Tamandua tetradactyla: one gene and its partner. Each later gene encodes a partner of the first gene's protein in a complex. Links are inferred from orthologs where the notes say so. Each region holds a gene or a part of one and is shown in the gene's direction. Other genes may lie near its edges. The genes, in order: NOG and BMP7.

Evidence for each region.
Region 2: the proteins of NOG (region 1) and BMP7 are in contact, whole or in part, in a crystal structure (PDB 1M4U), measured with the Homo sapiens proteins. The link is inferred for Tamandua tetradactyla from reciprocal best matches to the Homo sapiens genes NOG and BMP7. Residues at the interface, in NP_005441.1 of Homo sapiens: His29, Tyr30, Leu31, His32, Ile33, Arg34, Pro35, Ala36; in NP_001710.1 of Homo sapiens: Phe365, Pro366, Leu367, Asn368, Ser369, Asn375, Ile378, Val379.

Annotation. Positions count from the first base shown.
Region 1 is NC_135332.1:37,564,109-37,577,719, forward strand, and holds NOG (noggin), read left to right. Parts: upstream 1-9,551; coding exon 9,552-10,250; 3' UTR 10,251-10,303; downstream 10,304-13,611. UniProt on the Homo sapiens protein: Inhibitor of bone morphogenetic proteins (BMP) signaling which is required for growth and patterning of the neural tube and somite. Essential for cartilage morphogenesis and joint formation.
Region 2 is NC_135327.1:28,162,452-28,178,018, forward strand, and holds the start of BMP7 (bone morphogenetic protein 7), read left to right. Parts: upstream 1-8,955; coding exon 8,956-9,373; intron 9,374-15,567. UniProt on the Homo sapiens protein: Growth factor of the TGF-beta superfamily that plays important role in various biological processes, including embryogenesis, hematopoiesis, neurogenesis and skeletal morphogenesis.

The DNA of each region.
Region 1 (13,611 bases):
GCCATCCCGCCACCGATCGTAGCTCCGAACTGAAGTCCCTAAATAAGGACAAATGTCCCAAGGCTTGCCTTGCTGTCAAAATATTTAGAACAAGAATATTAAAATCATGGACAGGACAATAGGACTAACTTAGAAGTAAACATTCATGCTGTTGAAAAAGGTTAAGCCATAAACATTTAGTCTAAAATGTGCTTGCCATCCCTCCTTGGCTAGGGGCTGAAAGAAAAGCAGAGTTCTATAGAATGTGATCTGCCAGGATTTTCTTACCCCTGTGGCATGATAATTACGTTGCCTCTTAATTACCTTTTAAAGGCTCATCCGCAGTGACTCAAATCCTTGAGGAGGTGAGGGAGGCAGCTTTGCATTTTTCTCAATGTATGTTGCTGAACTCTTGAGGTAATTCACTTTTGAAATGATGCAAAATGAAAATGAAGTTGGAAGGGCAACTTGGCCTCATTACCAGCCTGTTCCCTCCTTACCACCTCCAGGCACTTCAAGGGCCTCACATTTTAGGGATTATCTATGTGAATTTAATCAAGCTTTACATTAACTTGTTAACATGGGTAAGCCCTTGTGTGACACTTGTCTAAAAATCGTAAAGTGAACTGGATTCATTTTGTGGGGAGGGCACAGGAGGGGTCAAAATATTGGTCCCAGTTCTAATCTTATCTATCTTTTTTATCATGCATGGAAACAAAAAAAAAAACACTTTTTAACTTAAATGTATACAATAATTTATAGAACTAATTTTTCCTAAAAATCCGGTAACTAATGAATCATACCTTACAAAATACCTGTGTTGAAACACATGCCCGCTACAAAATCCCTGTGTTGAAACACATGCCCGCTCACCAACCGTGCTGCTGAGAGACGAGCCACTGTTTTATTTATTTTTATTTTTATTTTAATCGATACATTTACTTAGGATCTTATTTTATTACGCCAAAGGACAGATTGAAAATGTTCTGCAGTAGGTGAGGATGCCTGATGGGTTAGAGGGAAGATGGGGACTCCTTTCAGAAGTTTAAGGAACTTTTAAATATCACTTTGAAGCCTCCCTTTCATTTTCTCTAAGTATGTTCCATGAATTATAATAAAGAAATTCAATGATTTTTTTTTCTTAATGGAGGGTATTTTTTAATGAAGCTCGGTGAGGACACTAAAGTGAAACCTTAGATATAAGAAAAATAAAACCAGTTGGGGGCTTCAGGAACATTGTTTGTCCTGAAAGTGATGTGGAAAAGCTTGATCAAAAGCCTTGTTTTACTACAGTCATGCTCCATTATGGGAGGGCGGGGAGCGGAAGATGAAATGAGCCCTCTCCCCTATGTGACCAGGTTGCCAGAAGTTACTGCCCACTAGTAAGTCTCCCTGGCCTGCTGGTACCAATGACCCCTGAAAAAAGTCAAATATGGATTCAGAGCAAGAGAGCTGCAGATAGATGGGCAATTTAGGAAGCCCCCCCTTGGGTGCCACAGCTCTGAGCCAAGAAGTTTCTAGCTACCTCCAGAGGTGATCCAGGAGTCAAAGGAGGTGGCCTTGGGGAAGCCCCCTCTCCTTTCTGGACTCCAAATTCCCTACCTATAAAATGCGGAAATGACTGTCCCTACTCCAGAAGCTCATGTGAGATTTAGGTAGGGTGATGTTCATAAAGCAAATGGTAAATTCCCAAAACATGTTCAACTTTACCTCCTTGTTCCTAAGATCGGAAACTTGACGAGAAAGCACCTATTGTAGTCGATGGGAGACCCCATCTTCCAAACAATCAGTTAGGGTTACTTCCTTCCAGTCCCCAGCCCCCACCTCAAACTCATTCCAGACTGCAGAATTTTGATCAAGCGTGAGATTGGGTTTGGGTGCATTTTCGTTTGGTTGTTTCTCAGCTCAGTGGTGGGTTTTAACGCAGGTATTGCTTTATTTTAAAAGCACTCTGATTTCTCCTTCAATGCCTGAGATAGGAGGTTAAGGTATCTTGAAACCATCTGTCACATACTAGCGGACACGGTACACACACACCCCTGCACACGAAAGCTCCTCACTTTAGCCAAATGACCAAATATGCTTCTCCCTCACTTCATCATCACACCCGAGCACTGAACCATTTAACTAAACTTAAGATCACCTAATAGGAGTCAGCCCTACAGCCCGGTGCTGGCTGCAAAAATCTTTTCAACACCTAGAATTTTAAATACCATTTCCAGCTTTACTAAATGTCTGTGGCAAGTTATTTCTTCTAAATTCATGGATTTTTAAGATTGTATTGTTTTTTTCCTTAAATACAAAAATAGTGACTGCTGTTTGTTTTGTGTGCTTTTTAAAGTAAATTTACATAAATACACGATCAAGTAAAAAGTGAGCTTCTCATCCCCTCTTCTTATCCCACGCACTTAGCCCATTCTTTAGGGGTGCCCATTACAAATAAGGATTTATAAACTTATTGCTCTTTTGAGGAATTTTTCTCTGCACATAGGAGATAGTGTTGCATTGATGTTAAAAACAACTGTGTTAGGACTGAAAAGCCTGGGTTTCAGTCTTGATGTACTTCAGAATCGAGTTGCATTTTGTTTCGTTTTGTTTTTTTTATAATAGGGCTGACCTGCAATATTTAAGGCCTGCAATTGCCATGCTGATGTGATGCCTAAGGTTTCTTACAAGTATTTCTAAACCCAAGTCTAAATTCAAATGGGATTCAGAGTTGTCCAAGGTCCTTCAGTGGCCCACCGTGCAAGGCTCCTGCTCTCCCGACATCTACCCCTCAAACCCCAACTCTCAGTACTGCCAACTCGTACCCGGGACTTGGAAGACGCGGCCCCTTCCCCAGGCCTGCCCAAAATGTCCTCTACGCAGTGCTCTCCCCCTCTTCCTTCCTGGACTGTGAATTCCTCTTCAGAACCCAACCCAATCTCCTGGGGATTGCTTTCTGAGCCCCTTCTCTCCCCAACACTTCTCCCCAACCCTTCACTATGGCAGCTGACACCCTGAATTGTAATCTGAGGATTATTTTTCTTTTTTCCTGTTATCTTTCAGCTCTCCAAGAGCAAAGGCTGCATCTCGCTCCTCGAACAGCAGCTTGTCTGAAGTTGGGGTGCACACCTGGTGAACAGATGAAAGCACAGATGTCCCTCCCCCAGGGCAGCCCATACAAGGCCGCACCCCTTCTTGGCTGGTGAAGAGACTGAGTCGTGGCTAGAGAAAAAAATTCCAAGGTGCGAATATGTGTGTTGATGGATTCAGTAGCTGGAACTCGTGAATCATGCCACTCACCTGAAACAGGAATGGTTTTCCACTTTATTTTTCACTCCACTGAGCTCCTGTCTCCTTGTTATCTTGAGCTTTTGAGGGGATAAAGGTGACTAGACCATATTATCTCAATAAATATCTGTGTCAGCAGGATGAGGGGATGTGGGGGAAATGTGAGCTCAAGTGGAGGGGGGGGGGCTTGTGCGTTTGGCCAGGAGGCTGTATGTAAATCCCCACAGGAGTTCACGCCTTTTAAAATACTGGGTCACAAATGGTAAGTGTCCACGAAGCTGATTTATTTAGAATACACACACACAGTTTTCAAGGCAGTGGCACGGAGAAAGAGCGGCGGCAAAAGGGATTTCCTCTGCGTGGGAAAACGTTGACTCCATCCTAGACCGAGCTTTCTGCCAAGGCAATGCACTGTGAGGCTGGGGTCTGAGGGCCAAGCTCAGAGCCTGTGCAAGCAAGGAAAGGGGAGAAGATTTGCCCGCAGGCACGGCCCCCACCCACCCCCAGGCCCCCCACATCAGGGCCGGCTAAACACGCAGAGGCTTCTGTCTCCAGGGCTGGAGGAGAGGCGCCCTCGTTAAAACTCAGATAAACAGTTTATCAGGAGATGAATGAGCCACCGGGCTCCAGAGACGTCTCCCCTTCCCCAGTGTGGAGCCAGATGGGGAGGGGGCCGCAGGCTGAGCAGGAGCCAGACTGAGGAAGGGAAGGGGCTGCCCGGCTTGAGAAAGCTAGCCTGAGCGCCCTTCCTCCTGTGCTGTTAAGGTTTATCTCTGTTCAGGAAAATATATTTCACATTTACTTACCAATTTTCCACCCCAGCCCACCTTTTAGAACTCCGTCCTCTCCCTTTGCTCTCTTTCTCTCCTCTTATGTGTCCCCTCTTTTGCACGCACATTTCCCCCCACCCACCCAACACACACACACACCAACCCCCAACACTTCATAATTCTAACTAGAAGGTTATCAACACTGAACACACAAAAAACATATAAGGTGTTGTGAAGCTGAAGTGGGTCTCTACACCCACCCTGTGAGTCTTGATCTGGCCAGGCTCCTGCCAACACCCACGGGGGCTAAGCTAAATCCACCACGTTTGGACCCCAATCAGAGGGACTTCATCTCCACTCTCCCTTTCTTGGGGCAGTTAGGAGAAGAAAAAAGGAAACCTGCTGGCTGACTCTTCCTCACTTTGCTCAATTGGGCCAGGCCAAGAAATGCTATTTTGAGTCTAAGAGAAAGTCCATGAAATTCAACATATATGTTGAATCTGAGACAGTCAGAATCTGAGGGTGATGATTCTCATGTGCCTGGGTTGACAGCGGACTTAAGAGATGGCAGTTTTTATGCTTCCTCCTTTACAGTGCCTTGTGTTCCCCGGACGTCTGGGAACAAATGTTAGCAGCAGCGCAGCCGAAGGCAGGAAGAACAGAGACTCTGATGTCTCCACAGTGTTATGTATTCGGGAGTGCCAGGAAACTAAAACGACTCCCCCAAGGTTACACAGCTGGCAGGCCCCAGGCTTCCTAACATTAAACACCGTGCCCTCTGCACATCACCCACAGCTGCCTCAGATCCATGTTTCCAGGGCCAAAGATACGAGAAGACTGTTGGACTTTTCCTAGAATAATAGTGAAAATAAGATGCTCAGTGCACCATCGGGCTGCTCTGGCCTTCCACCTGTAAATATCGATGCAGTTGTGCAGAGGAGTGCTTCCATCCTTCCTTGCCCAGCATTTTTCAAGGACAGGCATCCTGGAGAGATGAGCCAAACATGGGCCCATGTTTGCATCATCCATTGGTCTCTTCCCTATGGGGCCTGCTGAGGCCGAGTCCCCAGCCAGTCCCCACTGAAGTCCCACACTCCTCGCAGTGAGAACCTGAGCAGAAAGCTGTGCTGATAGTCCTACCTCCCTTGGTCCGTCTCTCACCCCACAGCTTCATCTTGAAGAAATATAACCCTCTTTGTCCTGCTTATCAAGCTCCCTCTTTCACAGAGCAGCAGAAGCACTGAAATAGGTCAGCTGTTGAGTCCCCAAAGAAATCCCAGGTCCCCTCCTTCAAACTCCTGAAGGATGGCAGCTACCAGTAGCTCAGTTGCACATGTTCAGTGGGTGGAAAGCAGGCCTGAAGGTGTTCAAGTTGCTTCCAACAGCATCCCCATTCTCCTTCAGCCCTGGCCAGCTCAAACCTAGGATGACTGGCCCGCTGAGGCTAGTGGGGTTCCCCAAAGAACAACCGTGTTGAAAGTTTATTGCCCACTATATAGTGTGCCTCACACACTGTGCTAGGTTAGGCTTTAAATGACACAATTCTGGGAAGCGTGTGTTATCCCCATTTTACAGATGAGGAAACGGAAGCTTTGAATGGTTGACATGCCTATGTTAATAAGAGTAGCAAAGCCAGAATTCCAACCAAGAGTCACCTGGTCCACCGGTCATCTTCGTGTTGAATTCCACTGTCTGTGATGTAGTCTTCCTCCACCACCCAGACCCCCAGATCTTCTGGCAGCCCCTCCTACATTGTGGCCCTCCTCTTCAAGCACACTCATAACATATATGCACATATCTCAAATTTCCTCCTCTTCCTACTCAAGCAAATGTAGCTTTTTTCCTCAAGCACAGTTCTTCCATGAAGGCATTGGCAGGGCTTAGTTTCTGATGCCAACACCCCTCTATTCCCTCCACACCTAAGTGCATGAGCTATTGCAGTGTGGTACAGAGTGGGGAGCTCCAGGCTCTCCCCAGGTCGCGTTTCACCACCACCGTAAGAGGGGTAGGTGGGGTTCCAAAACACTGTATCTAACATTACAATCCCTCTGACTTCTTTTTGCACAGCATAAGGAATTATAAAATTTCAAACAACATTCAAAAGAGGGCATGAAATTACTATATTGATCAAGAAAGAGACACTGTTCTACACTGTTATTAGGAATTTACGGATTTTTCCCCCCATGCTCTTTTAATGTTTTCTTGATATGTTCGTCATATCTTCCTTGAGTGGACCATCAGCGTCCTGGGAATGAGGTGGAGATCCACTGTGAATCCTCTTTCCTTTGTCTTTTTACCCCATGGTCTTCACAAGTGTGTGTCTGTAAAACATAAACAGGTCGCCCAATCTAATCTCAGACATGGTTTGTTTTTTTGTTTTTAAGGGGGCTTTTCAAAAAAATTTTAACTGTTCAGTCAAATCTACCCAACCTAAATAAAAGGCTAAGGGGTCTGGGCTGGTTTTCAAACAAAAAAAATCAGAGATTTGTAAGAGAGGAGAGGAAGACTGATGGAACAGAAAACAGTACAATAAAATGTCACTATGGAAATCTACCAAGGGGGGGCTAAAAATTTGCCTTTGAACTTTTTACTGAAAAAATTGTTTTCTTAGTTAATTCATAGTATCATCAAGATTGCTCTGAGCGATTAATCTTCATGAGGAAACAAACATATCAGAAAAAAAGGAGTATTGTTTAAGATCCTACTATGTGTCAGATTCAAATCACACATTAATTAAGAATCAATCCAATTTCAACAACCAATGAGTTATTCTTACCTACAGCATTCATCAAAGCAAACTCTCCTTTGACAGGTACCATGCTAGACCAATTCTAGTTGTTGTCTAGACTTGACAGTGTAGGAAGACATTTTCATCTAAAACTGACATCCCTCACAACAGCTGAGGTTTTGTAGATAGAATGTTCGGTGAAACAAAGTGCATTTTCTTCCTAGACAGCAGAAAAACTTCTGTATGTGTGTATGCGGAGGGCAGAACAGGTTGTTAGGGAGAACTAGATCCCTGAGTTAAGAAATTGGAGTGGTTTAGGCTGCCACAAAGGGGCCTCAAAACTTCTACTCCATGGAATACTGGTGAATACTTGAATCATACGCTTCATGTCTCTTTTCTCAAGCTTTAGCCAGACTACAATCACATCCCACCACAAAGGAAACTCCACTTGGGTTGTGAAGGCTACATCCTCATCCAAGGGAAAAATTAACCGCAAGTATCATTTCAGTACCCACCTTCCACCAAAGATAAACTGTTTCTGAAAGAGAAAGTATGGTGCAGGTTTATTAGAATCCCAGCAAGGTAATTCACTGATGCAGAAACTAAGATATATGGGGGGAAAGTGACTTGTCCAAGGTTAACATAGTTATGTCAGGGTGAACCCCAGCCGGGATTCAGGCCCCCCTCTTGTCAGTGCATCTTTTAAGTTTCTGGTTCCCACTATTTTCCACCGGGCCGGTTTAGCGGAGGCAGAGGTGTGCAAGAGATCTGTGTGAAATGTGAGGGGCGTGGGGAGGAATCTCAGAAAGTTTGTTTACGCTGAAGGTCTTGGAGAGCTTCGAGAGAACCAGAAAGGACCCATCAATACACGCAGAAACACAAACACAAGAAATGACAAGGACACAGAAGCAGAAACTGAGCTGGGCAGCGCGGTCGTCTGACAGCTCACCTCCTAAGGCCGCCCGCGCCTGAGCCAGGTGCAGGGCTAGCCGGGGGCCAGCAGAGGGCGCGCCGCCACCAGGGAGCCGAGCGGCTGCCGCGCGATCCCCAGTGGGCCAGGGGAGCCGCAAGCGAGCGGACGCACCCCTGTGACTCGGCCATTCGGGGCGCAGAACCTGGCCAAGGAAGAGGTGGAGGAGGGTGAGGAGCCGACCCCCTTCTTGGACCCGGGCGGGGGGTTGGGGGGGCTGCAGACAGGCAGAAGCCTTTCCTATGAATTACATTACTACATTACGCTAGGCAATGCTACGGCTCACTACTCCCCGGGCACAGAGAGAGCCAGAGAGAGCGAGAGAGCGAGAGAGCGAGAGAGAGAGAGCGAGAGAGAGAGAGAGAGAGAGAGAGAGAGAGAGTGTGTGTGTGTGTGTGTGTGTGTGTTGGGGAGGGGAGACGCACACCATATATGTGTGTGTGTGTTGGGGAGGGGAGACGCACACCGTGTGCGTGTGTGTGTGTGTGTGTGTGTGTGTGTGTGTGTGTACGCGCGCGCGCGCGCGCGTTGGGGGAGGGGTCAAGAGACCGAGCCCGGGAGAGAGGAAGGCGAGAAGCTCCCGGGGAAAACGCTTAGTGCACATGGAGAAATTCCTTGCTCGGAATCGCACGGACAAACGAGTCCCCGGCACCTCTCCGCTGCTCCCCTCCCAGTGCAAAGCACCCAGCTAATGAAGAGCCCTCCATGCCCCATCTCGAGTCTTTCCCCCAACCCCCAAACCGGCCCTGCACCCTCCAGCCCGGCTCCAGCGCCACCGCGAGCTCTCCCCAGAACTGGCCCTGGCGGGGCGCCTAGAGCCCCAGTTGCATTGCTCCAGGAGAAAGGAGGGGGGCGGTGCATTTTGCAGGAGGAGGAGGAGGAGAAGGGGGGTGGGTGGTGGGGGAGAGAGAAAATTGCGCGGAGACCTGCCAAGCGCCACCGCCGCCGCCGCCGTTGCCGCCGCCGCCGCCGCCGCCGCCGCCACCGCCGCCGCCGCCGCCGCCGCCTGTGAGCTGGGGCGAGCAGTCGGACTGTCGGCTTCCCGGGGCATCTGGGTCCGGCGGGGCACAGCCCTGGGCGCTGCCGAAGCCGCCGCCGCCGCCTCCACGGCGAATGCAGGCGGCTTCCCCCTGAGCCTGTGCGGCTCCAGCTCCTCGGGGGTGGAGAAGTGGGGGGTGGGGTTGTTGTTTGGGGGGAAGGAGGGGGAGGGGGCAAAGCCCAGAGAGTCAGTGGTTTCCATGGTGATGGAGCTGAAAGTGCAGGAAATTTAAAGGCTTGGACCCTGCGAGACAGACAAACCGGTGCCAACGTGAGCGGACGCCGCCGCCGCCGCCGCCGCCGCCGCTGCTGGAGTCCGCTGGGCAAAGCCGGCTACGGAGCCCGGAGCAGGCGGAGGGAAGTGCCCCCGGGACCCGCTCGGCCAGCGGCGCTGCACAGAGCGGCAGGACGAGGAGCAAGAGGAGGAGGAGGGGAGAGCGGCTCGTCCACGCGCCCTACGCCGCCGCCGGCTGGGGAAAGCAGCAAGGAGTCGGCGCCCCCAGCGCCCCGCGGTCGCCCTGGAGTAATTTCGGATGCCCTGCCGCGGCCGCCTTCCCGAATAGACCGGAGAGAGGAGTTGCAGCCAACTTGTGTGCCTTTTTTCCGCCCGGGTGGAAGCCGACGCTGCGCGAAGGGCTCTCCCAGCGGCTCATGCTGCCCGCCCTGCGCCTGCCCAGCCTCGGGTAAGCCACCTCCGGACAGACAGGGGAGCGCGGCGGAGGCGCCGCGGGCTCGGCGTGCTCTCCTCCGGGGACGCGGGACGAAGCAGCAGCCCCGGGCGCGCGCCGGAGGCATGGAGCGCTGCCCCAGCCTGGGGGTCACCCTCTACGCCCTGGTGGTGGTCCTGGGGCTGCGGGCGGCACCGGCCGGCGGCCAGCACTACCTCCACATCCGCCCGGCTCCCAGCGACAACCTGCCCCTGGTGGACCTCATCGAACACCCGGACCCTATCTTTGACCCCAAGGAAAAGGATTTGAACGAGACGCTGCTGCGCTCCCTGCTCGGTGGCCACTACGACCCGGGCTTCATGGCCACCTCGCCCCCCGAGGACCGGCCCGGCGGGGGCGTGGGGGCGGCCGGGGGCGCCGAGGACCTGGCGGAGCTGGACCAGCTGCTGCGGCAGCGGCCGTCGGGGGCCATGCCGAGCGAGATCAAAGGATTGGAGTTCTCCGAGGGCTTGGCCCCGGGCAAGAAGCAGCGCCTAAGCAAGAAGCTGCGGAGGAAGTTACAGATGTGGCTGTGGTCGCAGACCTTCTGCCCGGTGCTGTACGCGTGGAACGACCTGGGCAGCCGCTTTTGGCCGCGCTACGTGAAGGTGGGCAGCTGCTTCAGCAAGCGCTCGTGCTCGGTGCCCGAGGGCATGGTGTGCAAGCCGTCCAAGTCCGTGCACCTCACCGTGCTGCGGTGGCGCTGTCAGCGGCGCGGAGGCCAGCGCTGCGGCTGGATTCCCATCCAGTACCCCATCATTTCCGAGTGCAAATGCTCGTGCTAGAACTCGGGGGCCCCCTGCCCGCACCCGGACACTTGATCGATCCCCACCGACGCCCCCCCCCCCCCCCCCCCGCCACCTCCTCCAACCAGTTCCACCATCCTCTCGCGAGTGGATTCAATGAACTTTTTTTTTTTTTTTTTTTTTGGCTACAGAGACCTAGCTTTCTGGTTCATGTAATGCACTGTTTAACTGTGTAGGAATGTATATGTGTGTGTGTATATACGGTCCCAGTTTTAATTTACTTATTAAAAGGTCAGTATTATACGTTAAAAGTTACCGGCTTCTACTGTATTTTTAAAAAAATAATAATAAGCAAAAGGAAAAAAAGATCAGAGCAAAGAGACTTATTCTGGTTGTTGCTAATAATGTTAACCTGCTATTTATATTTCATTGCCCTTCGCATGGCGAAGCAGGGGGGAAAAGTTATTTTTTTCTTAAAGTACAAAGAGAGTGAGAAACTTTTGTAGAAGGACTTTTTAAAAGCTATTTTCCATTCTTCGGAAAGTGTTTTGGTTTTCCTTGGACCTCGAAGAAGCTATAGAGTTCAATGTTATTTTACAGTTATTGTAAATATAGAGAACAAATGGAATGACTAATCATTGTAAATTAAGAGTATCTGCTATTTATTCTTTATAATATCCCGTGTAGTAAATGAGAAGTGCAGAGCAGGATTAAAGAAAACCACTAAAACCGACTGCGCTCTACACTGCGATTCTCTGTGTTGGTGATTGATGGGAAGAGGGGGGCGGGGTGGGGGTGCCGCTGTGCCAACGCCTGTTGGGAGAAGGGGCTCATCCCGTCCGACTCCCCTCCTCTGGCCTGATGGAGGTGGCCGCTGAGTTGCTCAGAGGCGGGAGGGGGAGGAGGGAGGTTGTTCTCAAACCTCTCACTTGAGCATCACGTGGCCTGCGCCCAGTCTCCCAGCTTTTCCCCCCCATGTCACCAAAGCTTGGGCCTGACGTGACCTCGACACCCAGCCGGCCCCCTGGAGCTGACCCCAGGCTGGGACGAGAGGCGGGGGGGGGGGGGGTAGGGTGGGCGGCCGCTTTGTCCTGCCTGACAGGCCCTTCACAATGGGGACACGTGTCTTTCACACCTACCCTGGGGGCGGAGTGCCGCTGAAACTTGACCCCCGAGGAATGGGGGGGGTAGTGGATCAGAGCGCGCCCACCCAGGTCCCGCCACCTCTCCGGCCTCGCACCCCCCACCTTGATATCCAGCCCGGGTTAACCCTTTTTACGACCGGAAGCTAAGGAGGTGAGCGCTGAGGCGATCCCTTGGAATCGACACTCACACAGCCTCCGGCATCTTGCAGGTCCCAGCCCCCGAAATCCCAGACCCTGGGCCGGAGGTGCTGGGAGTAGCTTGAGATTTGACACTCACCGCCCCCCCACACCCCACCCCACACCGGGACCTTAGGAGGGCTCTGTGGGCGGAGGTTTCCTAAGGGGCTGAATTTGCATGAAAAACGTCTGCTTGGGATCCGCTGCTGGGGAGGGGGTGCGCCCCTGCTCTGGACACTTACTCCGTTTGTGGGTGGGCAAAGGGGAGGAATAAGAATCGGCATCTTTGAGCTTTAGGGTTAGTTGGGGGCGGGAGACATGCTACCCCTTGAAGGGACCTGCAAAGTATCACCCCCACCCCACCCCTCAACAAGCCAACTTTCGGAGGCGGGCGCTTGACTCTCGCGTGCGTCCCTCGGCGTCAGTCCGCGGTGGCGCCCATCCGCGCAGCTCCACGTGGGCCGGCTTTCTGACACTGCTCCGCGCTCCCTTTATTTATCTTGGACTCCAAAGTCGCTCTCCTTTGCTCCCTCCCCCACCCCCCTGCCACCTCCCCGCGCCTCCCTCCTGTCCCCCACCCCCTGCCCAGGCCGGACTCCCGGCGAATCTATGCTAATTATTTCAAACCTGCGCCCGGTCCGCAGCGCAGTCTCAATGCCCCCGGCCCCGCCCGCCCTGTCCCTCCAGCCGGGCGCTTTCTTCCCTTCCGACGCAGCCTCGGTGGCTCCTCGTTTCAATAGCCTGGCCCGGGAGCCCGAGCCCCCTCCCCGGCGCTGCCTCCGTCAGCCGTGGGACAGACGTTAGGGTATTCATTAACTGAGAGCCGAGGAATAACGGCATTATTCCCCCCAGAGAGGGCACCCTGCCCCCGCGACTATCTGAGGCTTCATTGTAAAAGGATTAAAAGTTAAAGACCTCCATCTTATGATTCTTTCATTTAATCTTCCTGGCGCCTGGGAGACATGCTCGATGGATGATGGCTTTTAAAATATTCCTAATGTCGGCTACCTTAAGACTCCAAGCCGGGCAAACAAACGTAATTTATTTCCAGAAGAAAGGGGATATTGAGATGTTTAAGTTTATGAACCGCCGTCCCCATGTATATTTGTTAAGTTCTGACAAATACCCAAATAACGTTAAAATCAGCCATTCATCACTTATGAATTTATGCAAAACTTTCTGTGCCCCGGGCCAATATTTTTTTAGACAGAGTTTCACTTGCGAGGGGCGGAGGTGGTGGGGAGGGGAGACGGGGAGGGGGCTTACGGGGAGTGGGGGGGGGGGAGCCGAAAGCAAGAATTTTCATGCCTGGTAAACACGCGAATTATGCGAAGAGAGTTATTCCTAGCTGGGCCGGCAGCCAAAACTCGGAGAGCGCGCCGAGGCCAGCTCCCCCACCCCCACGTTGGCAATGTCATTGGATTACAATGCGAGGTCTTCCCCTCCGCGGCGCCCCCTCCTCCCTCCGCCCGCCCGCGCCCCTCCTCCCCACCCCTGCCCACTTGGAAAACCCTCTCGCAGCCGGCGAGCTTCTCGGCTTTCAGAGCAGGACCCAGTGTGCGTCGGGAGGACCCGGGCTGCAGACGTGACGCGCGATGGACAGACCACCGGTCGGACAGACCCAAAGGGCAGGCCCACGGCGGCTCCGGGCGCCGAGAGAGGACGGAGCAGGACCCAGGCGGTCCCAGAAGGGGACGAAGGAGGTGCTGGTCCTGAGACACTGTGACTAACGCTCAGCCAATTGCGTTTCCTTTATTATTAAGGCTGATAATACTAATAATAGCATCAACGCGGAAAAGAAGAGAGAACTCTGGGCAGAGAGGCAAGAAAGCTGCCCTCTGCGGTCTAGAGTCTATCTCCTAAAAGGAAGGAAATTGATCTTGGTGTCTTCTGTGGCTTTGACAGCTTGTATCTATGAACTTATGCAGCTGCTGGGAGGCCTTCCCCAGAGAATGGGAATTTATAACGATTAGGTACATACACATCAACATAAAAATAAAAAATTCTGGAAGAGAATGACAAGGCTTCCACCACCCCATCCCTTCCCTATGATTGCAAGAATTCACTCATTCAACCTC
Region 2 (15,567 bases), on another chromosome or scaffold:
ATGAGGATTAAATGAGAAGACACAGATAATAAGGCTAGAAACCTGCCCTCTTAGCTAGTGTGGTGGATTGACTTGTGCACCCCAGTTTGGGCGTGTTCTTGATCTTGGCCCGCTTTCTGGTGGGTGTGGAATCATTGAAAGTAAGAGCTCTCTAAGGTGTTAGTGCAGTTAAGGTGTGGCCCAGCTAAATCAGGTGGGGCTTTAATCCCAGTTACTGGTGTCCTTCATAAACAGAAGGAAAAATCAGATGGAGAAAGAAGCCATGGAGAGCATGGCAAGAAGCCGGAAGTCAATGGAACGCAGAAGAGAAAGGAGAAGATGCCGCCGTGTTCATTGCCATGTGAGGGAAAACCCAAGGACCAAGGCTCGTTGGCAGCCAGCCCCAAAACACCACAGTCTCCTGGGAGAAAGCATCACCTTGCTGACACCTTGATTTTGGACTTTTCCTAGCCTCAAACCTGTAAGCCAATACATTCCCATTGTTTAAGCCAATCCATTGTTTGGTATTTGTTTTATCAGCTGGGAAAACTAAAACAGTGACCACTGATGATAATGTTTGAGTGTTTCTTTCTTCCACCCAACACAGACATGCTTTATAGCACTCATCTCTAGTGATGGTCCAGGCAGAGAGAGTTGGTCGGCTCACACATGCCCTGAACTTGGGGTGAAAGTGGCATTTAGGGTTTGTGTCACTAGGACTGAGTTGTCTGGGGGGCATGAACCCTTGAGAAAGGGAAACCGCACTTGAACACTTGGCCCTTCTTGTCTGCATACTACTGCACAGGTTGTTTTGTCACCTGATGTCTCCAGGGACACTGGGCCATATGATGACTCCTACCCCCCACCCCAGGCAGAGCTCTGAGGCATGCCCACCATCAATCAGTGATTTATGTTTGGGACATATACTAAAAATTAGTCATTGTTTATTTGAAATTCAAATTTAAATGGGTGTCATGTATTTTTAGGTGCTAAATCTGGCAGTTGTACTCGGTGGCCAGTCATCCTGTGAACTGGCTTTAGGAGAGGGACCTGGTTGGAAAACTAGGGAGGTAAGAATCATGCCACCCCAGGTGTGAATGCTGGCTCTGGCATTCATTTGCTGTGTGGCCTTGGCCAAGTTCTTTAACCCCTGTGCCTCTGTATCTTCATCTGTGAAATGGGAGTTATAGCATCTCATTTCAGGATTGTGAGAAGATTGGAGATAATCTGAAAAGCGCTTGACTCAGTGCTTGACACAAGATAGCTGCATCATTAAAGCCAACTCTTATTATCCTTTGTGTCATTTAAAATGAGCTCAAATATGCTAATCTTCTCAAATGACCTTTCACTGCATGAGTCAGGACTAACCTATTTGGAGTGAGGGGTTTACCTAGGAGGAGGCAATAAAGATAAAAACCGAAGTAGAAGGGATAATTAGGACAATTGAAAAAAAAAACAAAAGAATTAGGAGAAACACATGGAGGCAGGGGAGAGAAGAAAGAGAAAGGAGGGCTGGACAAGAGCACAGTGATGTAGTAATGAGCTCCTGGGGCCTTGGGAGCTGAATTCTAATCTCAGCTCCGTCCTGACATACTGTAAGGCTTTTGGCTCACACTTCCCCTCTGGGTCTCAACTCCCCTGTCTTCAAAATGAAGGAACAGAACACACCTCTGCAGCACTTTGGTTGTAACAGAAAACTCAGAGCACCGTGGCGGGAACTATAAAACACCTTTTTCAACTCATGTAACTAAAAAGTCCTGGGAGAGAGCTAGTGTGTGGGACATCCGTACACTAAAAATTATTCGATGTTTATCTGAAATTCAAATTTAACAGGGCATCCTAATCTCTATTTTTATTTGCTAAATGTGGCCGTCCTAGCCCCTCTCTGGCCATTATTTCACCAGAGCAGCTTCACATCTGTATTCCGTAATGGGCATCAGTGAAATGCTTGCCTTGACCAAAAGTTTCAGCTTTTATCCATTATCTCCCAGGGCCCTTTCCAGCAACTTGATGCTGTATCCTGCAGGGTTGGTAGCAGCAGAAACCATCTCGTGCTAACTGGCGCAGAAAAGGAGTCCACCAGAGGACCTCGGGGGGCTCATGGAACTCCCAGGAATGCTAGAGTGCCAGGATTAAGGCACCCTGGTAGGGAACGTGGCTCCAAATTGCTCTGCAGCATGGTCTAGGCACGTGCGCAGGGCGGCTGAGGCGGATGCCTCTGATTGGCTGAGACGGACGCCTCTGATTGGCTGAGACGTGGTCACATGCCAACGCTCCGGTTGCAAAGCAGGCTGGGGCCGTGCAGTTCCAGGTGGTCGCGGGTGGGCTGTGCTTCAGAAGACCGCAAATTCCCAAACATAAGAGGGGTGCATATGCAGCTGGGTGGGTAGAGGAAAGGCACTGAGAAGGGAGATCAATGGACACCCGGCTCCTAGAGAAGAAATTTTGTTTTTTGATTTTTCTGGGAGAATTTTTCGGAGCGAGTGTTTCAGATCAATTAGCAAGGACAAAGAGCTGCAGTGCCAGTGGGAAGGGAACTGTGGAGAGGGTCAGGATCAGATGCTGCTGCAGGGGTGGGCAGGTTTCACCTTGCCATCAGCCACCATGAGCTCCTTGAAGAGAGAAGCAGATGGGCAGGTGTCGCTGTGCTGCCTTGAAATGCACCATCCTCAGTGTCCTTTGGTTGCTGGTGGGGACCCTAGATATATTCTCCAAACCTAGAAGGGCCCTTTGTGAGGCTAAGGGCCAACTGGACTCAGAGGGTAGATTTGTCCTCTTTGGTCTAATGGTTTAAAAAAAAAAAAAGGAATTAGTTGTCATCAAATAAGCAATGAGAGTCGTTACATGAAAACCCAGATTTCCAGTTTCTCTTTAACAATGAGTCTGTCTTGTAACATTGGAATCCAATTCCTGGGTGTCAGCATCCACGGGAATGTGATCTCCAGCTCACCCCAGGCCGCACCCCTCCCTATTGCCTCTTGGCCGGTGTCCTTTGCCATTTGTCATCCGGACTGTGTTCATGGTTTCCTTTGGTGGAATTGGGGGAAAGTGAGTATTCCTTGGGCCTCGCATCATGGGCATTGCATCTCTATTTATGTTACCAGGCTGGACCCTGCAGGTATCTAGTGTGGGACTTCTGCTACAAAGGGGGACCTGAAGAAGAGCTCAGAGATGCCTAGGCATTCATGGATTACTGTTAGGGCACCCACTGTACGCAAGACCTCTACCAGCACGGGGAGGTAGGAGCAGGACTGACAACCCCCCCACCCCCCCCACCACCATTTCATTGTGCCCCTGTGTTTAAGGACCCAGGTCTGTACCTGAAGCCTGCATTAGAACGCTGATTTCACTGCATGTTGCCCGCTACGTGGCCTGGGGCAGGCTCTGTCGAGTATTGAGCCTCGATGTCCTCATCTATAAAATGGGGACCATAATAATGAGTATCTTAGAGGAGAGTTGTGAGGAGTAAGGAGTTAATAAAAAGCCCCTGGAATAGTAGCTGACATGTTTGTTTCCATTTTAAGTTTCAGATTATTTTCAGCTGTGACTTCAGTAGTTTAGAGCCCTGCTACTCAACTCGCCAAAGCTAGACAAGCAGCCTCAGCAGCCCCTGGGAACTGGTTATGAATGCAGACTCCCAGGGCCTGCTCAGCCTGGCAGAAGGGGATTCCCAGGAGATTCATGCATATAGGCAGTTTGGAGACGTGCTGCTTTAGGGTAAAGCTCTGCTCTCAGATCACAGAGCAAGCCAGAGTGTTTAAGAGCCTGGGCTGTACAGAAAAATGTGGCTTTGGATCCTGTTTGGTTACGGATTAGCTGTGTGCCTTTGGGCAAGTAGCTTTACCTCTCAGAATCTTAGTCTCCTTTGTGGTCTGAGAAGCATAACAGGCCCCTCTAGATTGGAAGATCCCATGGGCTAAGGCAGCAGGGCCTAGCAGATGCTTGGCAAAAGGTCAACATTTCAGAAATGTTGGCCGCTGTTATTCACATTTTGGAAGGTCAGTCCTCTCTCTCCAAAGCTGGACCAAGGATAGTAAATGCTCAAAATCAAACCAGGCTTCCCCCAATGGAGGAAGAATTAAGAGTCGTGATAATAGCAGACAGTGCTGCAGCTTCCCCCGAGCTGTGTTTGAGAACTGGTCTGGAAACCATGCCTCGGGCATCTGCTTTCTTTGGAGTGTGTGTGTGTGTGTTTTCCCTTTGGAACTGTGGCCACTGCCAGGTGTACTTAAGACTGACAGAAGATGTTTAGTCTCTTACTCCTGTTTTTTATTTTTTTGCTTGTGTAAAGAAAACTCCTGAGTGATTAAGCAGAAGGAGCCTGAACCTCCAGTGAATTGTGCATGAAAAGCAAAATCACATTACAGGTGTGTTAAAATAATTTCTTCTCCAGAGTAGATCTCTTTGCACCCACGAGTTTAAAAACCCATGCAAAAGGAATCTCTTGGACTCCTATTCTCTGCTGGGGCCTGAGGTCCCAGGTAGTCGGGTCTTGGCCAGGTGGGGTGGACAGAGGGAGCAGCCCCTGGGTCTCCCTCGGCTGTCCTGGGTGCCCCCAGGCTGGCTGAGCTTCCTCCAGGCAGATGGTGTGAGAGCTGCACAGAAGAGGAGGTCCGTACCTTGGCTGAACAATGTGCACGTCAGCAGAATTCTTTTCTTCGTTTTATTGCCTTTGAGACATATGCTGACTGGGTCAAAACGGCTTCAGCAAGATGTGACTGATGATGTATGAAATGAAAACTCCTTGTCCGGCGCTGGGAGGCCTGCAAACTAGGGGTGTGGACACTGTGCTGGCAGGGCGGCTGGCCAGACTCAATAGCGCCCTCAGCTGCCAGGCCGTCTGTCATCCTGCTGAAGCCCCAGGTGTGGGCCAGGCCGGGGCCGATCAGATTACGGCCCCAGGAGTCCAGCGTGGGGTGCCCTGGCTTGGAGACCCACAACGGGGTGGGGGGTGGGGGGTGCGGGGGGGTGGGGGCTGGCTGCCGGGGTAACAAGATAGGCCCCAGGGAAGGTCCTGGGCCCCTGGTGGCATGGGGGCTGGGGGACAGCGGGAGGATCGGAATGCAGATTATCCTTTCATCTCCAGCCCTCTCCTTTGCGCTCTCAAGCTTCCATTCTCTTGCTGGCGTTCTTGATCTCTCCAAGTCAGGATAAATTCGCTTTTCTTTGCTTGGCCAGGAAGTAGATGTTCATGAAAAGTTTCCTTGTTGTTGTTTTTAAAACTTTTGGAGGCTCTCATGCTAACATATTTTCCTTTTCATCCAGATGGCAACTGACATTTATCAGGCGTTTTCTCTGTGTCCCCAGGCGCCATTCAAAGCCCTTTACGGGAATTAAATTCTGAATCCTTGCAGCAGCCCCAGGAGGCAGGCACTCTCAGTAGCCCATTTTCCAGGTGGGGGAACTGAGGTCCAGAGGAGTGGAGACCCTTGCCCTTGTCATGCAGATGGGAAGCGGCAGCCCAGGGTGTCCACAACTCCTGCCACCACCTGAGACCCTCTAAATGGTCTCACAGCTTTTAGCTCCCAAGCCAGCATCGGAGGCAGTTCCAGCCCAGACATTGCCTGCATGTTTGCATTCATTCATTCATTCATTTACTCCTTCCTTCATTTGTTTGGCAAGCATTAATTGAGGGCCTGGCTCAACCCTGGGACTCCTTTAGGGGAGAAAGCAGGGAAAATAAAGAGCCGCCCCCTCCCCCAGCAGGGAAAGATAAGGTTAAATAGGGGGATCTTGGGAGTTCAGAGGGGACCTTATCTTTTCCTATTGGAAGTGCCTCATGAAGGGGCTCATTCTGCATTGATTGTCACTGGACAGCTGTCACTGGACAGCTATTTACTGAGCAAATGCTGGGTGTCAGGCTCAGGATGAGCTCAGAGGAGATGCAAAGAGAGGGGCAAGTCCTTGCTTCAAGGATTTCCAGCGGCAGAGAGGAGCCTGGAGGAGATGCTGACAATCCTGTACCAGTCCTTATTTGTGCTCCTGTGTAAATCCGCAGCACCCATACCTGCCCTCCTCTCCAGGCTCATTTGCTTGTAAAACAACACCCCTCCCCACCCCTCACCCCGCCAAAACAAAAAGCTTTGCGAAATGCTTAAAAAAGCAGAGACAGTGTGGGGAGCCACTGTGATTCTCATTTGCATTTTACCTCCTGGAAGAAAGGGCTGCCTTCATCTTCACTGGCCTCTGAGGTAGCAGGTATAGCCGCTTCGCCCCTGGCGAGCCAGCATGGGGGTGCATGGGTGGTGGTGGTGGTGGAACCCTTTCCCGGTCCCCAGGGCTTGGGCATTCGCTGTCCCTCTGCCTGGCTCAGGTCAACGACAACTCCTCCCTCACCACCTTACCTTGTTTATTTCCTCTGTCGCTTATCCTGAGCTGAAAGGAGCAGGTTGTTGAGTTGTGCACTCTGCCTCTGGTGGAACCTCGAGGCCACCGGCACTCTCTGACTTCCCATCACCCCCGTGGTAGCCACCCCCTCCACAATGCTCTCAGCCCACCTGTCCTCCCTCCTCACCCTCCTCCGCCTGCCTTCCAGCTGCCCAGGGTGCCAGAGAGGAAGGATGGACATGGGCTGCCTCCTCTCCCTCCCCTCCCCAGCCAAGCCTGATTTAAGGTGCCAGGTTTGCTGCCCCTGACCTGAAAGCCAGTTCCTTGACAGTGGCCACCTCACGGGCTCCTGCTGTACCCCCTGTTAGCACAATGTCAGGCCATGGGATTGCCACGTTGGGGGGCCCAGTGCAAGATGAAAATGCGGGGCCCTTGTTCATGGAATATTAAGAAATTCAAGATGGCGACAAGGGAGCATTAAACAAGTGTGGGCCTTTCTGAGCACCAGCCCTGGGGAGACTCACGGGCTGTACTCTGACCCTGTTCGGTGACCAGGAAGTGCTCAGGAGTGAAGGGCTGATGGGCAGTTCAAGGGGCCCCAATCCTAGGTAAGGGGCTCAGGCCTGGGGGCTATTTGACATACCCTTCCTCCTCACTGAGCCTCTGGCCTCTTCTCTCAACCCATGTGACCCCCTTACTCCAGCCTCTTGTCTGAAAGCCCCAAAGAGAGATCGGGAAGGCTGTAAGCAGAACTGTCTCTGCTGGAGAATACTGGAAAAGACCAGCTTGGCCAAGTTCCCCTTCATCAGCCTTCCTGCTGCAGGGAGGACCAGCCCTTCGGGCCTAGCCAGACCCTTCAAAAGTAAATCCCCTGCCCCAAACCTAGCCTTCCACCTTACCGCGTTGGATGACTCTCCATCTAGCCCACCCAACGGGAGTCACCACTTTGTATGCTTGCCTCCTCGGGGTAGAACCAGAAAGGAAGGAGGCAAGATTTGAAGTTCAACTCACGGTGCTCCCTGCTGCTCACGGTGAGGTGTTCTTCTGCTCCCACTTTTACAGAGGAGGAAACTGGGGCTCTGGGGAGCAGAAATTCACATATGGTCCAATAGCTGGCAGAGGGGACCCATAGGTTCTGAGCTGTCTGGCTCAGTTATGTTTGTGGGGAGAATGAATGAGGGAAGGTGTGGGGAGGGCAGAAAGGAGGCAAGGAGGAGCTGGCAGGTGAGGTCTCAGATAAACTAGGTGCCAAGGCAAGCTGCCTGCCCCCACACACGGTCAGGGTGGAGAACTGCGGGGGAATGTCAGAGAGTGGATGGCTGTTCTGGGGAGTTGGAAATAAATGGAGCCCAAAAGAGGAGGAGAGGGGAGGAGTTACTCCAATTTCATCTACTCATTCAACAAGTATTGCTTGGGCAGGGCAGTGGCTACCAGGTGTTGGATTTAAGGGCCTAGGGAGACGAGAGCAACCTTATGGGGAGACACACTAAAGAATTCTCCGCAAGATAAAATAATCATGTGTAAGAGTGAGGGGGCAAGCCACCTTAGCTGCCCTGGTCTGGGAAGCGCTCTGGGAGAAGGTGACAGCCAGGTAGACTGTCCAAGCACCGGGTATGGAAAGGGAAGTGAGGGGGTAGTGGAGAGTTTGAGGCAGAGGGAATTGCAAGTGCAGAAACAAGTTGGAGACAAAGTTGGGGGGAGGCGCAGCAGGGTGAGCATGGCTGCAGGGCAGAAAGCTGGAGGGCAGAGGGACAAGATGGGCTCTTGTGACACCTCCTCTGCGACTTCTCCTCTGATTCCCGCGCCTGCTCAGAGCTTCATCCATTATATCCCGGATTCCAGGGTCCCGCTCGGGCCTCCTTTCCATCCCGACTGTAAGTCCCGGGAGGGCAGGGCCGTCTCGGATTCCTCCCTTCGAAGCCCCGCGGCGCCCGACCCGGTGCTGGACACCCTGTGGGCACTCGGTAAATATTTGTCGAGCGCGCTAAAAGGGATGAATGAACCCATTGGGCGCAGTTGGGGGGAGGGCGGGGCCGAGGGCAGGTGGGAGGCCGCCGGCGCGGGAGGGCCCCTGGAAGTCCGTCCTCCTCCTCCTCCTCCTCCTCCTCCCAGGCCCCAACGCGTACCACTCTGGGGCTCCCGAGGCGGCCTCTCGTGCGATCAGGGACGCACAGGGCTGGGAAAGCGATCCGTGAGCCCTGCTTTCCGCGCCGGAGGTCGGAAGAGAGTGGGTCGCGGCCGCCGGAGGGCGAGAGCGCCGGAGGAGCGGGAGGAAGGAGCGCTCGCTCGCCAGCTGCCTCGCTGCCTCCCCGGCGCCTGCTCTCGCCGGCTGGGAGGTTGGCTGGCTGCTCCTCCCACCCGCGCCAGCCTCTTCGCTAGCTTGCTGGTTGGAGCTGGTTTCCAAGCCCCGCGGTGCGCCCGGGGGACTGCGGGGCGAGGGGCCCCAGGGCCAGCGCCGAGCCGGGGGCGGGGGTCCGGGCAGAGCGCAGCCGGCCGGGGAGGGGCCATGTCCGGCGCGGGCGCGGCGGGGCCCGTCTGCAGCAAGTGACCGATCGGCGTGGACAGCTGCCTGCCCCTCTCCGCCACCTGGGGCGGCGCGGGCCCGGGTGCCGGGAGCCGGGTGCCCGGGCGGCGCGGAGAGCCGGCGCGATGCACGTGCGCTCGCTGCGCGCCGCGGCGCCCCCCAGCTTCGTGGCGCTCTGGGCGCCCCTGTTTCTACTGCGCTCCGCCCTGGCCGACTTCAGCCTGGACAACGAGGTGCACTCGAGTTTCATCCACCGGCGCCTCCGCAGCCAGGAGCGGCGGGAGATGCAGCGCGAGATTCTCTCCATCTTGGGCTTACCCCACCGCCCGCGCCCGCACCTCCAGGGCAAGCACAACTCGGCGCCCATGTTCATGCTGGACCTGTACAATGCCATGGCGGTGGAGGAGGGCGGCGGGCCCGACGGCCAGGGCTTCTCCTATCCCTACAAGGCTGTCTTCAGTACCCAGGGCCCCCCTCTGGCCAGCCTTCAAGACAGCCACTTCCTCACCGATGCCGACATGGTGATGAGCTTCGTCAACCTCGGTGAGTGAGGGCGGGCGGGAGGGGTGCGCGTCTTGGGCCGGGCGCCGCAGGACAAGGAGGGGGCCGCCCCTTATGTTCAGTCCGCCCACCTCTCCACTCCCGGAGGTTTGCCAAGCCGCCGGTGCCTGCCTGGTCGAGAGTCCCCCAACCCCCAGCCCAAGTGGACCCCAAGCTGAGCGCGGCCCCAGGTAGCGTGAGCCGGGCTCGGCTGGCCTGTTGCTGTTATTGGGAGGGAGGGAGCCGCCTGAAGCCCCCTTGGGGTACGACGCGGGCCGCACCTCTAGTGTTGGAGGCGCCGGGCCCGGCCGCGGTTCAGTTCAAAGCGCGGGGCTCGGTCATGTGAGCTGCCCGCGCTACCTGAATTTAAAGAGTCTTTCTAGTGAAACCGCCTTCCCGCCCTTCTTCGGTGCCGCTCAGCCCTGCCCAGCCCTGTCACCGCGGCCGTCGCGGCCCCTTCCCGCCTTGGCGAGCCCCACCTGTCCCCTCGCTGGGCCGCCCGCCGGAGCGTGCTGCGCGCCCCGGGCGCCCCGGAGCCCCTCTCCCCGGGCACCCCCCTCTCTCCCGGCTCTACCCGCCGGAACTGGGGAAGAAACGTTGCCGTTGCGAGCTTTCTATTTTAAAATATTTAATGATAGGTCCCGGGCGGGTAGAATCCATTTTCAGCTTTTATCACGTGTGGCGCGCCAACCACCGGTTTGGGCGATTGGGTGGCGCGGGATCTCTGAGCAGACGCCACCGGGGGCGGCTGGGGGACCCGGATCCCGACGGTAGCCGCGATGACACCGGCGACGGAAAGCTGGGGCTTCGGCGGGGGCCCCGTGGCTCCCCTCGGTAGGGGCTGCGTACATTCTCCAGACTTGCGCAAACTAACCCCCGACAGCGCACTGTGGGGCGGAAGACCAAATATTTGATCTCAGAGATAAAGCACCCCGATAGCGCCGTTTCCCCAGCCGCTTTTATTCTACTTGCTGCGAAAATCCGAACCGAGTCAAGACAGCAAACTTCCACCCACGGGCTCTGTGTCAACATCGAAATAATGACCCTAAATCCCCACGTCGGGTACCTGGGGAGTGGATGGGGGTGGGGGAAAGCAGGGATCGGGTTTAATGCTTCCCGCCCCAGGTACCCTGGACGCCATTGTCTGTCTTAAATGATAACCAAACATCAACTAGTGAAATGCGCTTTGGCGAGCAAGGGGTGGGAGATTTAGATGCCCAGGTAAGTTCAAGAAAACTTTGAGTTTTATTAGCAGCCTGGTAGGAGGGAGGCAGCTGCACAGTCCGGATTTAGAAACTAACCAAGGTATATGAGGTGGAAAACAGCAAGGTGCAGGAATCAGTGAGTCTGCGTGTGTGTTTGGGTATCATCCCTGCCCTTCCTTCTGCAGGAAGACACCATGACAAACTGCAAATAGATTTAGTGAGGTGGAGGCAGAAGTGGGGCTGGGGCTTACCGGTGGTAGAGGGGGTTCTGATTTTTCACTCTCTGTCTGCACTTTGATCTGTGGCCTTTTTTTTTTTTTTACAGTGTGTATTTATTACCTGTAGCAAATCTAAAGAAAAATTATAAAAATGGAAAAGTAGACGTGGAGCTTCTGTTCTTTCCTGAAGTGGGGGTGGGGTGGGGGTGGGGCAGGGTTAAACCAGGACCCTTTCTCTGGCTGAGGATCCAAACCTCTTCCCTTCTGTTGGTTCAGATGGGTTCCCAGCACTGAATGAAGCAGGTCCCACCTGCAGCCTTGGGAGCCTGGCTGGGGTCGTTAAAAAGGCATTTGTAAGCCCTGGCTTCTGTAGAAGGCTCTGCAGACTCAGTCCAAAAAGTGCCCCATGCTTGTAGATTGGCAGTGTGGCTGAACCCCGGGCTACCACCCCCTTCCCACACCCCATCCCAGAGGAGTGAGTGCCTCTGGGTAGCTGGGGTAGGGCTGTTTGCTTCCCCCTGCTGTGGAGGTGGGGGTGGTGGGGGCGGTGGGAACGAGTTGGGACTCGTTTGGGAAGGCCCCAGTTGGGTGGTTTTCCTCCTGTGGGTGTACACACACCTTTCAACGCCGTTAGCCCTGTTTCTTTCATCTTGCGAGGACAAAGACCAGCTTGTCTGAGCCTCTTCATCAGCTGGCCTGGCTCTGGGCTCCGTGGGACAGTCCTGACTTTCTCAGGTCTAACTTTGTGGAACATCACTCCGAATTAGATGGTGGAGTGGCTATTAACAGGGCACGCTGAGCTTGTTTTTTCTCTCTCTCTTTCCTAAAACGAAAGGCACTTCATTAGATGAAGACCTGGAGTACAGTTTGGCAAAACTCTTCCTGTAGAGCCTTCTAGGGCTGGCCTTTAATTTCTGCTCAGCAACAACACATGCATAAAATGTCTGCCCCTTCTATTCTGCCTTGGCTCTGGAATTTCTCCGTAGGAGGGGTGGTGGTAATGGGGCTGGAGGGGAAGGGGGCAAGTAGGGCACTTGTCCTGCAGCTGAGTTTACTGAGAAAGCACACTGTCCCCTTGGCCTGTAGATCCTATCCATCCGTAATATACAAACTTTTCAAAAGGTACGTTCAGTCACACTTTCCGTTAAGAGTGAGAAAATGTCACTTGTCCATATCAAACCACTGCTCGCTACATTCAGGAAACTTTGAGGGCCCAACTGATGGAGACCTTGGTGGCAGAGGGGTAGGCTGACCTCTTGCATGCTCTGTCTGTCCTATGTGGGCGCGGGGGGACGTCAGCCTGGACACTGAAGGCTTTTGCAGACCTCGTGCATTTAATTTTTTTCTCTGTCTGCAGCCAAACTAGTTTTTGTTCCTATAAGTCGTTCTGTTCGGAATTCAAGCTTTTTGCCAGGCTGAGCGAGATCTCAACGAGAGGGGAGCTAGAGGGGAATTTACTACAAAACCAGGCACTGGGAACGAGGACTTCAGACCACACCTATGACAAAGGCCAGCCTGTGTCACGGGACCCCTGTAAGCCTCGCTTAATTGTGGGAGTGGGCTCACATCCTCCCAGCCTGGGCCCCTGAAGTTCAATGGTGGGATTTGTAAACTGGTTTGGATTAACAAGTCCCCAACTCCTCTGTGTAGACTTAATTTTGGAATTCAAAATTCAGTGACAGCCTTCCACTATTGTTCCTTTGGAAAAATTCAGCAGCTCCCTTTGGAATCTTCTAAAGAAGGCAACTGGCAGTAGGAATGTACAATTAGAGTTTATCTCTGGTCCACATTACAGAGGAACCAAACTGGTTTACTCTTGGAAGCCGAAGTACAAGAAGAGAGAGTTGGAAATCCGTCATTTTTAGAGCCAGCATCTATAAGTGGCTTTTGTTAATAGGAGCTGAAGAGCGAGGAGGAGGCCGTGCAGTTTGAGTTGTACTTCATACCATCTGGCAATCCTTTTTGTTGACAAGTGTTTGGCATTAAGAGCTTTCCTTTTGCCCCTTAAGAACAGGCTCTACCACTGTAGAGTATTAGAAAAAGATTCTGTTACAGTTTAAAAATTTCCTTCAGGGAGTGCTTTGCGAAGGCAGCATGAGCTACAGGCATTTGCAGCTGTAACCTGGCTTGTGTTAAAATTTGGAAGGGGCGGTTCCACATTCCAGCGCCCCGGCACTGAATGCGGCCTCACTGGTGAGCAGCCAAAGGTTAATATAGATGTCACACAGGCTTTCCCCCTTCTTTCTTGCTTTCTACAGAGCGCCTTCGCTATAGGAGTGCACCGACAGCTGTGTTTTTAGTAACCCTTTCAAAATCACTTCTTTTAAACCTCATTTTCCTGCTTATATAAATCAAAAGATTTCCCCCTCTTTTCCCAAGGATGTGTGACCCCAATGTGAACTTTTTTGATCTTCTATGTAATTCCCTTCTGGAATCAAAGCAGGTTAAAATGGAGCCCTGGATGCCAGCTTGGGTGGCTTTTTTTTGTTTGTTTTTATTCCAGGATTGTCCTTCGGAAGGGGTAAGGGAGGTGGCTCAGATAAAAATAGGGTATGGGCAGCAAAGGACCAATCCTCTGAGTTTCCAGAGAGAAGAAATTGTTTCTGCGCTGCAGACCTTGCAAGCGGCAGTTCAGGGCCTGGTGCGTAGTAGGCCCTCAAACTTTTGCTGAGACGTACACAGCTGGTGGGCTATCCCCCATGGCTGGAATGCCTGCGATATGAGCGAATATCACATGTCCGCCGAACCCAAGACAAGTGATGACTTCATCCCAGGGAGAGTCCTTCTCATTGATTGATCACCCCCTATTGCTTTAATTTCTTTCTTTTTTTCTTTCCTATTTGGTAAGATCATGTTTGGCTCATTGCAAGAAGCCCTAGCCCTCCCCTGCTCCACCCATCCCCAGTCTCTGCATCCACTTAACTGGCTGAATATTTTGAATGGAGGACCCTTTGTGCCAAGCGGCAGGCCACCTTAGTTTTTTTCCGCGGCCACTTTTCAGACCTCTAGTGGGGCTTGTTGACATGCTCATTTTTGGCAGGCTGTTGCAACGCTTCGTCTTAATATACTCTGGCAGTGTCACCGGGGTTAGGGCGAAGCCAAGGATGTGTGGAACCTGTCATGTTATTGTCAGAAGGTATGCGAGGATTAGCTTTTACAAAGCGGTGGTGGGAGAGCCCTGCAGCTGTGTACACTTATTATAAAAGATTTAAGTCCCACTGGTAAAATCAATATATTGAATTGCATGACCCTCTGCTTTTAATTAGTTTAAATCAAATGTGCTGGTGCCATTTTGCCTCCTCTCACCTTCCTGGGGTGAGGAAATACCAATATTTACACAGAGACTGCTAATTTGTCATGAAAATGATAACACATTTAGCTTTACGCCCCCAAATTGCTCCCCCTTGATGGATCCAGGCTCAGTCCAGAGCTGAGAGGTGACATCACCAAGGGACAACATCAGGGTTGTCTGTTGCTTGGAGTCTGGGTGCCAGGAAACAGGTGGGCATTTCATCAGGCTGGGTGGCTGAGGATGCAGGTCTTTTGAGAACTCTCTGCTGTTTTCATTCACAAGACAGAAATACCAAGATTCACCTATGTCTTCTAAATCCTAAGCAGTCCTACAGAATCGCTAACCAGGCACTTGATTTCTTGGCTGTTTTTTTGAGTCTTTTCTCCCAGCACACTCGGTCTTTTACACTGGGCGGCTCAGGGCACGGCACTTTATTTATTGCAGAGCTTCAGATGCTTTTCTTTCCAATTCATGAAGCAGTTCGCAGAGAAAGGGGGGTTCTTTCATTGCAGATAATTCTGGGGACGATCATAGCTATTATACGAGTCGTTCGCTATTAACTGTGTGCTCAGCTGCGATTGAATTCCGGGTTTTGCAGCAAATGGCATCTGACAAATAATATCTGACAAAAATGTGATGTGGTATTTCTTCATATGGAACAGATATTTCATAGTTAACTTTCCCTGGCGAAAAATTGCTCGAACCCGAAGCGAACCAGGCAATGCGGATGCAGACCAGGGCTGCCTGTGTGTTTTTTGCCCGTCCAGAGTGGGGGGTGGGGTGGTTTATGATCTGGGAGGACATGAGCAGCACATGACGTTTGACATACACTGTGTGCGCCTCAGAGTAGCGTGTGCGGTGCCGTGCTTTCAGCCTTTGGCTTCAGAAGGCATTGTTGGGAGCGGCACAAAGCCATCGCTGATCCGCGTGGAGTGGATTGAATTAATGACAACTCGGAGAGTACCAGTTTTAGGGTAATTGCTTTATTGTTTGGGAGCCAGGGCGCTTATAATCCGGTTCCTGTACAAACATGTTTAACGTGTGTTAATGCGTTTCCAAACCAGAGCCTCTCAGCACAACCCTGCTTTTCATTAATTGATGTCGGTAGCATGGTACAGTATTTCAAAGGGCTGGCCAAGTATAAACTGTGTTTCCAATTTCCTTCCTTTCCTGTGTTTGGAATGCCAATGTTAATTTGTTCCCATGCATGAGCGGGGGCTGCCAACCGCGGCTTTATATAAAGGGCTTCACAGTGAAGGCTTCCAGCCCTCACTGATGCTCGGGGTTGCCTGGCCAAGTTTCCTGACACTTTGCAGCTAATTCTGGGTGATATATGGAGTGGGGGGTTGAGGGGTTTCATGGCCCTGCAACGGAAGTTCTTGGTGACAGCAGAGGGTGTGACTTGGCGAGGGAGTCTGGAACCGGCATTCACGGTGATTCTTTTTAAGACACAGTTTAAGCCCACATGTCAGCTTCGTTGCA